Linked DNA regions of Schizosaccharomyces pombe. The gene in region 1 interacts genetically with each later gene. Each region holds a gene or a part of one and is shown in the gene's direction. Other genes may lie near its edges.

Evidence for each region.
Region 2: of cdc24 (region 1) and rfc1, extra expression of one rescues a mutant of the other (dosage rescue), as found in Schizosaccharomyces pombe (one study listed by BioGRID).
Region 3: of cdc24 (region 1) and sup35, a mutation in one rescues a mutant of the other (synthetic rescue), as found in Schizosaccharomyces pombe (one study listed by BioGRID).

Annotation. Positions count from the first base shown.
Region 1 is NC_003424.3:2,863,193-2,867,519, reverse strand, and holds cdc24 (DNA replication protein Cdc24), read left to right. Parts: upstream 1-1,693; 5' UTR 1,694-1,732; coding exon 1,733-1,824; exon of another isoform or gene 1,825-1,879; coding exon 1,880-1,964; exon of another isoform or gene 1,965-2,018; coding exon 2,019-2,046; exon of another isoform or gene 2,047-2,110; coding exon 2,111-2,310; intron 2,311-2,368; coding exon 2,369-3,032; intron 3,033-3,077; coding exon 3,078-3,212; intron 3,213-3,253; coding exon 3,254-3,555; 3' UTR 3,556-3,790; downstream 3,791-4,327. Other genes in the region: SPOM_SPAC8F11.08C (esterase/lipase), read left to right, coding at 158-1,231, 1,285-1,341; brr6 (nuclear envelope protein Brr6/Brl1), read right to left, coding at 3,953-4,327. UniProt on the Schizosaccharomyces pombe protein: Has a role in the progression of DNA replication and in the maintenance of genomic integrity. Acts during S phase, after initiation, where it is essential for completion.
Region 2 is NC_003423.3:3,852,157-3,858,068, reverse strand, and holds rfc1 (DNA replication factor C complex subunit Rfc1), read left to right. Parts: upstream 1-2,046; 5' UTR 2,047-2,126; coding exon 2,127-2,198; exon of another isoform or gene 2,199-2,266; coding exon 2,267-2,385; exon of another isoform or gene 2,386-2,433; coding exon 2,434-2,493; exon of another isoform or gene 2,494-2,553; coding exon 2,554-5,107; 3' UTR 5,108-5,412; downstream 5,413-5,912. Other genes in the region: rgp1 (protein sat1), read right to left, coding at 1-1,082, 1,373-1,715; rib3 (3,4-dihydroxy-2-butanone 4-phosphate synthase), read left to right, coding at 5,610-5,646, 5,695-5,812, 5,856-5,912. UniProt on the Schizosaccharomyces pombe protein: The elongation of primed DNA templates by DNA polymerase delta and epsilon requires the action of the accessory proteins PCNA and activator 1. Subunit 1 is essential for cell cycle progression.
Region 3 is NC_003421.2:1,533,417-1,538,511, forward strand, and holds sup35 (eRF3-like class 2 translation release factor sup35), read left to right. Parts: upstream 1-1,982; 5' UTR 1,983-2,036; coding exon 2,037-2,166; exon of another isoform or gene 2,167-2,200; intron 2,201-2,249; coding exon 2,250-4,108; 3' UTR 4,109-4,595; downstream 4,596-5,095. Other genes in the region: SPOM_SPCC584.03C (GTPase regulator), read right to left, coding at 1-1,261; SNARE-binding protein Sec1, read left to right, coding at 4,791-4,818, 4,857-4,897. UniProt on the Schizosaccharomyces pombe protein: GTPase component of the eRF1-eRF3-GTP ternary complex, a ternary complex that mediates translation termination in response to the termination codons.

The DNA of each region.
Region 1 (4,327 bases):
TCGTATTTATGCTTTTTCTCCCAATGTGGACTTCGTAATTTCTTCAATTGAAAGTCATCAGAACGAAAACAGACATGATTATTTACTGAAATTATTTTATTTTTCACACATTATATTAACCAATTTAGTATTGAGACAAAAATCATTCCATGTAGTAATGGGGTTTGCGACGATTCTTTATTCTATTTGGGTAGTACTTTCATCTTTTGTGATTCTTTCAGCATACCAGCTGGAAGTTCGCAAATTTTTGGTTAAGTTGTTGTCCAAGATAGTCATCGGTGCATCTGAATCAAATGTTGCTTCTTTTTTTGCTTTTGTTTCAGAGAAAAGCTTAGAAGCGGCAAGCGTTAAGTTCGTTGCTACTATAATTGCTGAGCGTATGGGTGCCCAATTTTCTTCTTTCTACGACAAAATATTTTTTGTTGATATGCTTGGCCTTGGATCCTTGTTTGCTTTGGCCGCTGTTAATGTACTTGCCGCCCGAAAACTCGAGTCTGAATTACCCGCATCTCTTGAACCAAGCATCGGTAACCGCGATCAGCAAAAAAATAGCTCACTTGCAAAATGCTTCAGTAGGTTATTTATCAATGATTTACATGGGACAACCGTCAAACGCTACCCATACATCTCTTATCTTCCTAACTGGCTTTTAGCCAAAAATAATGCTGAGCGTCTCGTTTACAAAAGTCACCTTTTATTAAACGCTTATTCACCTCCAAAATCTGCATCCGCATCTTCTGTTATTGTTTGGGTTTGTGGTGCTAAGAAATCCGAAAGCATTATCATTCCCTACCTTTCATCTTTAGGCTTCTTCGTAGTGGTTCCCAATTACGCCCAGCCTCCAAAATTTCCCCTTTCCGATGCCGTCGAATTTGTATCTTTGTGTGTAGATTGGATAGTAGAGAATGCCATCTATTATGATGCAGATCCAGAACGTATTTTTTTCCTAGGTGAAGATACTGGTGCGTCTGTCGCTCTTGAGAGTCTAAAACACATTCGACCAAACTCTGTAAAAGGCATTTTTGCTCTGTGTCCCCGTTCTATTCAAAATTTAGTGTGGACAAATCAATCCACTATTCCTATGATGACATTACATGCTGGAGATGTCAATCCGGTTAGCGACAGTAATGATAGAGAATCATCCGAAAAGGCATCATTGATTAAAAATTTTGTTGTACCTGGTGCTGTCCCTTATTATTATGAATTTACTTCTCCAAGAACAATCTCAACGGTATGTCAATATAGTAAATTCCTTATTTCGTTAATCGTTTACTAACCCGCCAGGCTACGTTCATCGCACGTTGGTTCTTCTTAGTAGAAGATAATAAGAAAACAATTTAATTTTACGAGTGCATTCCTTCTCTAGATGGGTAGTTTTAAGTTTGTTTTAATATTTTACAAGCATATGCTTTTTTGTTTGCTAGATGTTTCATCTTTTTTGACAAGCATCCCAAAACCGGATAGATATCTGTTTTAAATGAATTAAATATTATATTTGGTTATATGCTGTTTATTGTGTCTTCTTACTTAAAATTTCGATTGTGATATGAAATAACAAAAATAATGACAGCAAACAAGTTTTTAAATTGTAAAAATTTTATAAGTATTGTTCAATATCATTAGGCGTAACAGTATAAAAACAGATGATACTAAATGGAGTATTTAGGCAGCTGTCAATTATCTATATTCTATCAACTACTAATCTTAGAGCAGTAGTAAATTTAATGATTATATGGATTTTCCAGGTCTGATTAAAAAAATAAAAGAAGATCTAGAAAACCGCTTAGTTGAGAAATCTAAACAACCAGCATTCACTGATTACTGGTGAGTAGATGCTAAAAGTTAACGCATATGTAAAGAGTGGCTACTGACAATTTAGGTTAATAAACAAAACTATCAGCTTGTTAAAGGAGTATCCCTCAGGGTTTAGCTATCCCATTTTAATTAACGAGATTGAATTAGCGGTAAGGAATCTACTTACTCTACAAGTCGATAAAATCTGACATGCATGAACGTAGTGCTCGGAGAGAAATAAATTGGACAATGGTAACGAGAAAGTTTACTTTTTTTTTTGGTATAAAGAGATATTGACCTCCTTTTTTGTAAACAGTTTTTTCTTCTTTGGAATGGTTAACGAAATCAGATGCAGTTATTTATTTGGAAGACCAGTTTCATTTTCATTGCTATGATTATTATTATACCCCAATACCGTCTTTGAAGCTGAAAGATAGTGAGGAGAATACGTGCGAAATGATTTTGCATTCCAGTTTTTATTTACTCTTCCATGAACCATTTAACATTTTGAAAGGTGTAAGGTTTTTGAATATCATCTCCTTTATAACAGTGATTATCTAAGACCTTTATTTAGTCAACTTTACGCTTTTCTCAGTCACGCATCCATCAAAAATGGTATTTACGAAAGCAAATACGTTTCCTTCCTACAACTAGCTTTGTTCCAGTATTGCAATATGCTGCATCAAAAAGTTTTGTGAAATCAATGGTTGAATCAACTGAACATGAATTCTTTCAAATACGTGATATTACTATAAGCAAAAGTGATCAAGGTGTGAAACGAATTACTGTGGAATTGGGTCGCATCATTTCTTTAGACAAAAAAGGTGCTTTTCTTATAGACAACAATACCAATTTTATACATTTCTCAGGGACTTACCATGATTTCCCTAAGCTGCTAGACAAGCAACAATACCTACTTATTCCATTTTGGAGTACCGTTTGGGAAGGCAGTACCAACTGGCAGGATGGAATGATCGGTATTTTGGTAATTTTAAGTGAGAATGACTTTGAAGAAAAAAAATGCGACTCCTGGCAAGTGGGACGCTTAGCTGCCGTTAATTCAAATTTTCTTGTACTGGATAACAATGGTCAGCGAGTGAAGATATTGTATTCCAATTCTCAAAAGCATTATTTCAAGGATACCTATATTGGAGATTTGCTATGCATTAGCCCAATCAATCATTCTTCTGACAATCTAAGTGATTATTCATGCGTTAGTGACACAACGACTGAAATTCGTAAGAAATGGTAAATTTATGGGATTGAATATTGATTTATTTTAGTGTCAAACTTGGAGAACCCGTTATCCTCAAACTTTTTGAGAAATGATTTATGCAAGTTCTCCAACCTTTTTTCAGGTGTTTCTGGGCATTTAAAAATTCAACCGTTAACTTTGGTGATCACCGGATTTGTAGCGAGTAAGGGTTGCTTGTTTTACGAAATACTAATTGAATGATAGATTTAACCCGCCAATCTGATTTAAATACCAGTTTGGTCTTGCCGGAAGTAAATCCATTAACAGCAAAAATGGAGGTAATTGACTGTTTAAGGAATAGTTTTTGGGCAGCTTTACGACCGAATTGTGTTTCATATTTTGCGTCTATGATTTCCGGCTTTAAAGAATTATTCCAAAAAGAAATGGAATTTCCAATATACCTGGATTTGAAGTCGTACAAGCTCGGATTCCATTGGTGTGATATTTATGTGGACTCAGAACACAACTGCCATATACAAAAAATAAACTCTCTGCCGTGTGAATAGCCATCGCCATTATCTGAATAATTATGTCTAACAAATAAAAATCAAACATTGAATGTTTGAATGAAAAGATGTACAGTTCATTCAATCATTCTCCGTTTTAAAAGCTTAGTTTGCTTAATTTACTAATATACTACAGTTTAAAAGGCTTATAAATAATGCATTTTTCCAAAAAAGAAATTCAAAGTTAGAATATTAATTGGCTCACCCTTGTGAGAAACAAAGCAATACGATACAATGAACAGCTAAATTAACAAAATTATAAAAGAAAATGAATCCGAATAACGAAATTTGTATGCCAAATTAGAAAGCATACCAATAACGTTCAAAGTAATGATATAAATGAAAGTGATGAAAAATGATTTTAAGAAAAATGAGGTTAGTAGAAAAATGAAGACGTTCAAATTTCTTCCTCCTGAGAGGCAGCTTCGATAAGGTTTCTATTGGAAATATCAGAAAGATTGGAAGGAAGGAATCTACTGGACGGTATCATCGCCGGGATAGCGTTGGCAGCATAATCGTGGATATTTTGAGAATGTCTAGCTCTATAAAGACCAAAGGCGTAATTGGATGTTAGTAGACTTCCAAATACAAGAATGAGGGAAAAAACCATAGTTTTATAAGAAATATGACTTATAAAAGCGTCTATAATCTCAGCAAAAACTAACGCTGCCAACTTTGTAGAACCGACATTATTAGAACTTTCCATTTTACATTGTTTCAGTTTTTGACAAACTTCAAAAATAGCAGGTCCTGGAGAGTCACAGTTAATAGA
Region 2 (5,912 bases), on another chromosome or scaffold:
TCTACCTTCACTCACCCTCTGTACTTCTTCACTGTATCTCGATCGACTCGGACTCTGCACCTCTTCACTATATCGGGGATGCGCCGGTCCCTGCATCTCACGTTTCTTGTTCACCGCCCTTAACAATTCCACCCGCAAAAAGTGTTCCACTCCAAATTGCTGTGTTTCAAATGTTTCCGGACATTCCTCCGGCACAACCATCGAAGCGCTCATGTTTTCCAACTCAAACACTCCCCGTGTAATTCTACACCACACTTTTCGCGTCGCCCTCTCCGTCCCTACGCTGTTGCGTATACGGATGTCTGGCACAATACGCTCCACACTTTCAAGTTGCATATGCACTTGTCGAACCATCGCGTCCAGTCCTTCTAGCTCAATCATCATCATCTCTCCTGTCCGATATCTGCTTTTGCTCAAAAGCAATCGACATAACACTTTTTGTTTGCTTGTAATCTCAAACCTCGTGGCCATTGGTTGCTTGGATTCGAGTTTTTTTAACAACGCAATTTTTTCTTCATCCTCTTCCTCTAATACTTCTTCATTGATCTCTGACCTCATTCCATGATCTTGGAATTCTCCTCCTCCCTCTTCATTAGACTCTCCATCAAGTAGCTTTTTTATGTGTTGCTCGTATTTCTTTTTTTGCTTCTCTTCCTCCTGCGCATCCTGCGAAAGTCGTATACCGTTTTTACCGAATTGCCTACGTGCTTTCTCTGCTGAAACCTCTTCAATTTCTGCCGCATCTGTTTCAATAATCGGTTTGGATAAATCTGCAAACAGCTTCGAGGATTGTCTGTTTCCCGAATTCTTTCCGAGTGGCAGTTCAGGTTGCTGTTGAACGTTGGGTACTATAGTAATTTCAAATTCATGCTCTACACAAGCATTGTTGGTAGCTGATTGGACTCCTATGACCAGTGCGTGTTGAAATCGAAAGGCCAATCCTTTATATGTAGGTGCTGTTCGAAGGGGAATTCTTCGCTTCAACCGAAAGCATTTTTCCTCTCCAGGAGAAAGCGTGATATCGACTCCTAATATATCTGGACGAGTCAGTAGCACTGGAATGGCATTTTCCTGCTTTTGTTCTTTATCGGTTAGTATTCATGCTTAAGCAGTAGGTTGCAGTAAAAATAAGAGTAACCATCTTCCAAAAAAAAAAAAAAAAAAAAAAAAAATTGAATAAAGAGTAAATATGTTTCAAATGAATTACAAAACTCTTCCCAGACAACCTTTCTGTAATTCGTCAATTGACTTTATGTCCACCTCACCGTATAAGCACTCTTCCGAGCTATATCTTCCCTCCAAATGTAAGCCAATTGAGAGATTTTTTTTACCAAGTCTTTATTTCCTTTTGCACCCTTTCACCATTACATACCTGAGGCCTCTGTCAATGTACTTGCTTGTTTAACTCCAAATAAATTTCCAATCATCCCGTTCAGAGTATTAATAACAGAATAACTGCTGGATACCTTGGGAATATGTACTAATCCGCTCATTGTCCTTTTGTTTAAGAGCCCCTGCCTCTGAACCTCATCGAATTCTGTAACGCGCACCAGTACATAGTCAAGGTACATTTCACCATGGATAGAAGCATAGCACAAAAGTAAATTTACATCTTCTGAACTCCTTAGATTCGTGAATTTTACAATGCACTCAAAGTCAGTTCCGGATTGAACTACATTCACTGGCATGTACATTTGCACATCACATTCTGTCATTGTCGAACACCACTAAACTCTTATATTCGATAATTTCTCAAGCCGCTGGCTTCAGCTTTACCTTAATAATAACCATACAACTTGGATTTCTTCATTCGTATTGACGAACGTTTATTAGTCTCGTAACAAATGCACAATCAAAATAGTACTGTAAAAGAGCCCACTTTTCTTCCTCCACGACTCATTTTACGAGATTAAATAACGAACGCCCACAATCAATTTTTTACACTCTCCTTACTATTCCTTAATTTACTCATTTACGAATGTTTTAACGAAGCTTTGTTAACTCTCTGCTTTTGGCAAATTGTCACATTCCTTGCTATTGTCGCCCAATATACATACATACACTGCTTTTTTGGAAGTTAGACAGTAGCTTCTCAGGAATTGGGTAATTGTTATTCATCGTCGGAAATGAGTAATTCTGACATTCGAAGCTTCTTTGGAGGAGGGAACGCTCAAAAAAAGCCAAAAGTCTCACCGACTGTATGTTTGTTTCTTCAATCAGTCAAATTTGATAAGCTAGTCATTCATTTTCTAACGTCTTTGTCTAGCCTACTTCCCCAAAACCAAAAAGGAGTTTGAAGAAAAAAAGAATCGTTTTATCAGATGATGAAGATGGTACAATAGAGAATTCAAAAGTTCCTGCATCCAAAAGCAAAGTGCAAAAACGGTTCGTTTAATTCGGGTTATCAGTTTATATTTCTAACCCTCCAACTAGTAATGAGTCGGAAGATATTTCCCATTCTTTGCCATCCATTGTTCATGAAGACGATAAACTGTATGTTTATTTTACTTTTACCTCATTATGCGTTGTTCGCTAATTTGAATTTTTGTTTAGTGTCGGTTCAGATGGAGTTTCAACTACACCTGATGAGTACTTTGAACAACAGTCTACTCGGTCACGTTCTAAACCGCGGATTATCTCCAATAAAGAAACTACTACTTCCAAAGATGTCGTACATCCTGTAAAAACAGAAAATTTTGCCAATGACTTGGATACCACTTCAGACAGTAAGCCAGTTGTCCATCAAACTAGAGCTACACGTAAACCTGCTCAACCTAAAGCAGAAAAATCGACAACTTCAAAGTCAAAATCTCATACCACAACTGCGACAACTCACACAAGTCGTTCTAGCAAGTCGAAAGGCTTACCTAGGTTCTCAGACGAAGTTTCCCAAGCCCTCAAAAATGTTCCTTTAATTGACGTAGACTCTATGGGTGTGATGGCTCCAGGTACTTTCTATGAACGGGCGGCTACAACACAAACTCCAGGCTCAAAACCCGTCCCTGAAGGCAATAGCGATTGTCTCTCGGGAATTAGCTTTGTTATTACAGGAATTCTAGAGACTTTAACTAGACAAGAGGCTACAGACCTGATCAAACAATATGGTGGAAAAGTGACAGGTGCACCTTCTGTTAGAACAGACTTTATTCTCTTAGGTGAGAATGCTGGTCCAAGAAAAGTGGAAACAATTAAACAACACAAGATTCCTGCTATTAACGAGGATGGACTCTTCTATCTTATAACTCATCTTCCTGCTTCAGGAGGAACGGGTGCTGCGGCTCAGGCTGCTCAACAGAAAAAGGAACAAGAAGAAAAGAAAATCCTTGAAACTGTTGCGAGAATGGACGATAGTAATAAAAAGGAATCACAACCTTCACAGATATGGACTTCAAAATATGCGCCAACTTCTTTAAAGGATATTTGTGGTAATAAGGGTGTCGTTCAAAAACTTCAAAAGTGGCTACAGGATTACCACAAAAACAGGAAGTCCAACTTTAATAAACCTGGACCTGATGGTCTGGGTCTATACAAAGCCGTATTACTCTCTGGTCCTCCAGGTATTGGCAAGACGACTGCTGCTCATTTGGTAGCAAAATTAGAAGGTTACGATGTTTTGGAACTGAACGCTAGTGACACTAGAAGCAAGCGCTTGCTAGATGAGCAGCTGTTCGGTGTGACAGATAGTCAATCACTTGCCGGCTACTTTGGCACAAAAGCTAACCCCGTTGACATGGCAAAGTCCCGACTTGTACTCATTATGGACGAAATCGATGGCATGTCATCGGGTGATCGTGGAGGCGTTGGTCAGTTGAATATGATTATTAAAAAAAGCATGATACCAATTATTTGTATTTGCAATGACCGTGCTCATCCAAAGCTGCGGCCCCTTGACCGTACTACGTTTGACCTCCGTTTCCGTCGGCCAGATGCTAATTCAATGCGATCCCGAATAATGTCTATAGCGTATCGTGAAGGTCTCAAATTGTCACCACAAGCAGTCGATCAACTGGTTCAGGGGACGCAGTCCGATATGCGCCAAATTATTAATTTGCTATCCACTTACAAGTTAAGCTGTTCAGAAATGACACCTCAAAATAGCCAAGCTGTTATTAAAAATTCTGAAAAGCATATCGTTATGAAACCATGGGATATCTGTAGTCGTTACTTACATGGAGGAATGTTTCATCCATCAAGCAAGTCCACCATTAATGATAAATTAGAGCTGTATTTTAATGATCACGAATTTTCTTATCTTATGGTTCAAGAAAACTACCTTAATACTACACCAGATAGAATTCGTCAAGAACCACCGAAAATGTCACATTTGAAGCATTTAGAATTAATATCTAGTGCTGCTAACTCCTTTTCCGACTCTGATCTTGTTGATTCAATGATTCATGGTCCTCAACAACACTGGTCACTTATGCCAACCCATGCTCTTATGTCTTGCGTGCGACCTGCTTCTTTCGTGGCTGGTTCCGGTTCCAGGCAGATTCGCTTTACTAATTGGTTGGGTAATAACTCGAAGACAAATAAATTATATCGTATGCTTCGTGAGATACAAGTACACATGCGTTTAAAAGTATCCGCTAATAAATTGGACTTGCGGCAGCATTATATTCCAATATTGTATGAGTCTCTGCCTGTAAAGCTATCAACAGGCCATTCAGACGTCGTTCCAGAAATCATTGAATTGATGGATGAATATTATCTAAATCGTGAAGATTTTGATTCAATAACGGAATTAGTTCTTCCTGCAGATGCAGGTGAGAAACTCATGAAAACCATACCGACTGCTGCAAAATCTGCATTCACAAGAAAATACAATTCTTCGAGTCACCCCATCGCCTTCTTTGGAAGTAGTGATGTTTTACCTATGAAGGGCTCTGCTCAGCGCGAAGTGCCGGATGTCGAAGATGCAATTGAAGCCGAAGATGAGATGTTAGAAGAAGCTAGTGACTCAGAGGCTGCTAATGAAGAGGACATAGATTTAAGCAAAGACAAATTTATTTCGGTACCAAAGAAACCTAAAAAAAGGACTAAGGCAAAGGCTGAAGCGTCCTCTTCTAGCTCAACCAGTCGCCGATCCAGAAAAAAGACAGCTTAAAAAGCTCTGAAAATATTACTTTTACGGATTGTATATGAGTTATCGGGATTATATTGCTGAGTAAGTGAAATTTGCGAATACTTTTCAATTACTTTGCAACAATAGTAAATAATATAGATTTTTTGGTGGATTTTACAGTTCTGGTAAGATATGCTCAAATTTTCTTAATCTTAAATGTGTGTTCTTTTGTCCGTTACATACTTTAATGTTTATAAGATATATTATATCATATTTAGCATGACCGTATTTGCAAGGTTAGATTTAAAAATTCGGTGAGTGGTATTTTCAATAAAGCTATCGTGAACCATATCATTTGTAATTGAGTCAGTAAAATAAAAGCTAATTGACAGGCGGTTTAAAATGTATAAAATTATTTTTATTATTAATAATTATATCGTTTCATCTAAGTACGCTACATTGCTGTGTTAACTATCAGAGTTATGGTGAGCTAAGTGCTTAGTAAACTTAGCAGAGAGCATCTGAAAAGCTGCCAAATACCAGAATGCTTGCATCAATTGAGGAAGCAGTGAATGACTTTCGTAAGCATATTTCTTTTTAAAAAGATAAAACGCTAATATCATGACAAGGGGATGGAAAGTTTTTAATAGTGTTAGACGATGAAACGCGTGAAAACGAAGGAGATCTGATTATTGCAGGTTGCAAAGTTACTACCGAACAAATGGCATTCTTAGTCAGGCATTCTAGGTATGCAAAACGACATGGAATTGTTTGAAATGCTAATAAATAGTGGGTATGTCTGCGTACCCATGACTGGTGAACGTTTGGATTCTCTAGAAATTCCTAT
Region 3 (5,095 bases), on another chromosome or scaffold:
CTCTTCCTTGATAATCTTTAAGATACAATGCAATTTGTTCGTCAGGTAATTGTAAAACTGATTCTTGGGTAGTACTTTCGAGCGCGCATAATCTAATCAAATACTCCAGTAAAGTTAAATTAGGTTGATCTTTTATAGTCGATGGAAAGGAAGACTTTTTCTTTGCAACGGATTCTTGTTTTTTGATGCCTAAAAGCTGTAGCCTAGCAGCTTCAGAATCACTAAGAGATTCTGCAAGTTCATCAGATTCGTCTAATGATTCATTAGGTATTGATACCAAAGGAAGTGCTTCTAAAGCTATCCAGTTCGAAGGTGCTGTATTTGAAGAATACTCTGTTTCATCATCTGCATACTTGAGTAATAATACGGGAGTTTGTACATCATCTAACCGAAGAAGTTTACCGGACAAACTAAAAAAAAGCGTGCGCACATCATTTAGTGAAATGGTTTTGGTGACAGGAGTCTCATCTTCATCATGGTAACGATCATCATCAAAAGATTGTTTTAAAGATAAAGCATAGGCTAGAACCGTATCCTTGGACTTCAACCGTTGAGGAGGCATGCGAAACATTTTGGCGATACAAACAGGCATCTCTTCTTTCCACATGACTAAATCATTGCTTATATAACCAGACTTGGCGTGGTTATCTATAATTTTATAAGTTCGCAGGAAAAATGTGGGGCCAACTTGTAAAGGTTCATTTCCAGTAAATGCAACATTCGCCCTATATATGTATGAATTAGCTCGTAGAAGTTGGGAAAATGAAGTAGATTTTGGAAGAGAAGATGAAATAGAAGCACCAGAAGTAGTGATGGACAGATTTAAGAGAGGAACTGCATCATTAATTTTGAGAAGTAAAGTTTTCATTTCACGAAGAATAGACGTATCAACGTTCTTCTGCAAAGTTTCTTTTTCTGAGGAAGGCGGAAATTCCGAATGAGCGGCGCTTAAAACATGCTTGGTGAATTGTTCGATGTCAGCGTGCAAAGAATCCACTAATTGCTTAGTACTCTTAAAATTTTCATTTTCACCGACTGACATTATTTCAATTAGTTCGATAGCAGGCGTCACAACTCGAATCATTTCAAGCAGTTGAGTTTTCACAGACTCCAATTCACTTTGATCATCTGCAGAGGCACGTTTAATATAGCTGCTAACTTGCTGAACAGCTAATTTTCCTGCAAATGATATACTATGTTTCAACGCGAAGTTCGTAGCAAATGTCGCAGCATGAGAAGCTACATTAAGTAATTCATCCATTTCTAAAAAGGCGGCTTTAAAAAACACAAGAGAAAACAAGGCTAAACAAATAAATAATGGTCATTCAAATTGTATTTATTCCTTTTAACAACAAATTAATAACGAAATAAAAAGAAGCGTAGTAAATTGAGAACCAAATAGAACTTGCGCTAAGTCATAGTGATATGTGGAGGATAGAAGTTTAATATCCAAACACGCCTATAGAATTTTGTATAAGGAAATCCTAAAGTGAATAATTATATAATGGATTTACATATTGAATCTTTTGGAACTTGCTTGGTATATATTTTGAAGCTGTAACGCTGATTCATCGTTTCTTCCATGACAAAATCCTTGCAGTGATTATTGGTGACAATGGAGACTAATTAACCAATAGATTTAAAAACTTTTGATTAATTGTTCAACCCAATAGCTAATAAATGTTGTGTTTGGTATTAAGCCCACCGAAGTTTCTGTTTTTTATCTCCCAAGGCAAGTCAATATATTTTACCTGTTTAAGACAATAATAGCGTATTACTGAAGAAAAAAGCGAGAAAATGACCAATTTACAATTCAGTTGCTTCCGATTTTACAACCAAATGTAAAATTAAACTCAAATATAATATTTTATGAACTTAACTGAATTACTATAGCACAAGCTTATATAAAGGATGCTAATAATATCATCGTAAGTACTCGTAATATTATATTATAAAAGAATACACAGTGTATACTGTGGTGTAAATTCTCTTCAACATCACCGTCCCTTTACCACATATTTTAATAAAGGCAAAAAATGGCTAGTAATCAGCCAAATAACGGTGAACAGGATGAGCAACTCGCCAAGCAGACTTCTAAACTGTCGATGTCTGCAAAGGCACCTACGTTTACGCCTAAAGCTGCTCCCTTCATTCCTTCTTTCCAACGTACGTTTTTTAATTAGAACACCATCCATATGTCTTGAGATGATTGCTTGTTTTAAGTAAAAAAATTATTAACTTCTTGCTAGGCCCCGGATTTGTACCTGTGAACAATATTGCTGGTGGTTATCCTTATGCCCAATATACAGGCCAAGGACAAAACAGCAACTCGCCACATCCTACGAAGAGTTATCAGCAATACTACCAAAAGCCAACAGGAAACACTGTTGATGAAGATAAAAGCCGTGTCCCTGATTTTTCTAAAAAGAAGAGTTTTGTGCCTCCTAAACCAGCAATTCCCAAAGGAAAGGTTTTGTCCCTGGGTGGAAACACCTCTGCTCCTAAGTCTACAAAGCCCATTAGCATCAGCCTTGGTGGAACAAAAGCTCCTACAACTACCAAACCAGCAGCACCTGCTGCACAAAGCAAAACAGAGACCCCTGCACCCAAGGTTACCTCTGAGTCAACAAAGAAGGAGACCGCTGCTCCTCCTCCCCAGGAAACTCCTACAAAATCTGCTGATGCTGAACTAGCAAAAACACCCTCTGCTCCAGCAGCGGCTCTTAAGAAAGCTGCTGAGGCAGCTGAACCCGCCACTGTCACTGAGGATGCCACCGATTTACAAAATGAGGTTGATCAAGAGCTTTTGAAGGATATGTATGGAAAGGAACATGTCAATATTGTTTTTATAGGTCATGTTGATGCAGGAAAGTCTACCCTGGGTGGTAATATTCTTTTCTTGACTGGTATGGTTGACAAGCGTACTATGGAGAAAATAGAGAGAGAAGCTAAAGAAGCTGGTAAAGAAAGTTGGTATCTTTCTTGGGCTTTGGACAGCACTTCTGAAGAACGTGAAAAAGGTAAAACCGTTGAAGTTGGTCGTGCTTACTTTGAAACCGAACACCGTCGCTTTAGCTTGTTGGATGCTCCGGGTCATAAAGGTTACGTTACAAACATGATTAATGGTGCTTCTCAAGCTGATATTGGTGTTTTAGTCATTTCAGCGCGTCGTGGTGAGTTTGAAGCTGGTTTTGAGCGCGGTGGTCAAACTCGTGAACATGCCGTATTGGCTCGTACACAAGGCATCAATCATCTAGTTGTCGTTATTAATAAAATGGACGAACCTAGCGTTCAGTGGTCGGAGGAGCGTTATAAGGAATGTGTCGATAAGCTCAGCATGTTTTTGCGTCGTGTCGCTGGATACAACTCAAAGACTGATGTTAAATATATGCCCGTTTCTGCTTACACTGGTCAAAACGTTAAGGATCGTGTTGACAGTTCGGTTTGCCCGTGGTATCAAGGTCCATCTTTGCTAGAATACTTGGATTCTATGACTCATTTGGAACGCAAAGTGAATGCTCCATTCATCATGCCTATTGCCTCCAAGTATAAAGATTTGGGTACCATCTTAGAAGGAAAGATTGAGGCTGGTTCGATTAAGAAAAATTCAAACGTATTGGTTATGCCAATTAATCAAACCCTTGAAGTTACAGCCATATATGATGAAGCTGATGAAGAAATCTCTTCTTCTATTTGCGGTGACCAAGTTCGTCTCCGTGTCCGTGGTGACGATTCGGATGTCCAAACTGGTTATGTTTTAACATCCACTAAAAACCCAGTTCATGCTACTACTCGTTTCATTGCACAAATTGCGATCCTTGAGTTGCCTTCAATTTTGACAACTGGTTATTCTTGTGTAATGCACATTCATACCGCTGTCGAGGAAGTTTCATTTGCCAAGTTGCTCCATAAACTTGACAAAACAAACCGCAAAAGCAAGAAACCCCCCATGTTTGCTACCAAGGGTATGAAAATTATTGCAGAGTTGGAAACACAAACTCCGGTTTGTATGGAAAGGTTTGAGGACTATCAGTATATGGGCCGTTTCACTTTGCGTGATCAGGGTACTACGGTTGCAGTTGGCAAAGTCGTAAAAATTTTGGATTAGGGTAATTTCGGCAATTTTCTCGTGCTCGGGATTTGTTTCTATGCAAATGTATGACACTTTATGGTTCTACTGTATATAATCCAACTAGGACAAAATGGGATTTGCTTATTTTTTAGTTGGTGGACTAGCGGTATGGTAGAAGATGTATATCTAATCGTTATATACGCGTATTACTATGCCTAATTTCAATGCGATGGGTTGTATATATGAAGAATAATGGACATTCACTCCTTTACACCCTATTCACTTTGAAATTATTTACTTTTTTCGTACAGAATTCAATGCGAGGAGTAGGTCAGCAAATAGTAAATAAGCAGTTGCACTTTGCAGCTATGGAAGGGTGAAATGTGATAATAAGTTGTTGTTTTTTTACAATCCATATTAATGATTAAAACTACACTTGAAATCTTCATAATATTGTAAAATAATAGTTTATTTAAATCACTAGATATACTGAAATTTATTGTGCTACTACACCAAATCTTACCGAATAAATACCGAGGTGGATCATATTTACAGTAATCCGATCATTCTACCGTTTACATTCCACCAGCATTTCTGTACCGTATCCGAATTTCACGTACTCTTTTGACGTTGCTTGGTTTTAAGAGTAAGCATTGAAGTGTTGAAAGGTATAGTTTTTGCTATTCCGTTTAGGAATACGGGACATTGACGTTTTGAGATGACACTGCTGGAGCTCCAAAAAGAATGTATGGTTATTTGTGCTGGTGTATTACTAACAAATAAGTGTTTCTTAGCAAAATTAATTCAGTAGAATGTGCTACGAAGGTAAGAGATGGAACCCGTGAAACTTATAACGTGCACTGAAATGTTTACTGGGAATTTTGATTTGGATATTGTTTAAATGGAATTGAATTTGTGAATATGCAGCATATTATTTCCTCCGACATATTTTTTTTAAACTATCAAAATTGGCCTATTTCTAATTTGGAGCCGTTCAGTTTCACATCTTTGGCTTTTGGTTTG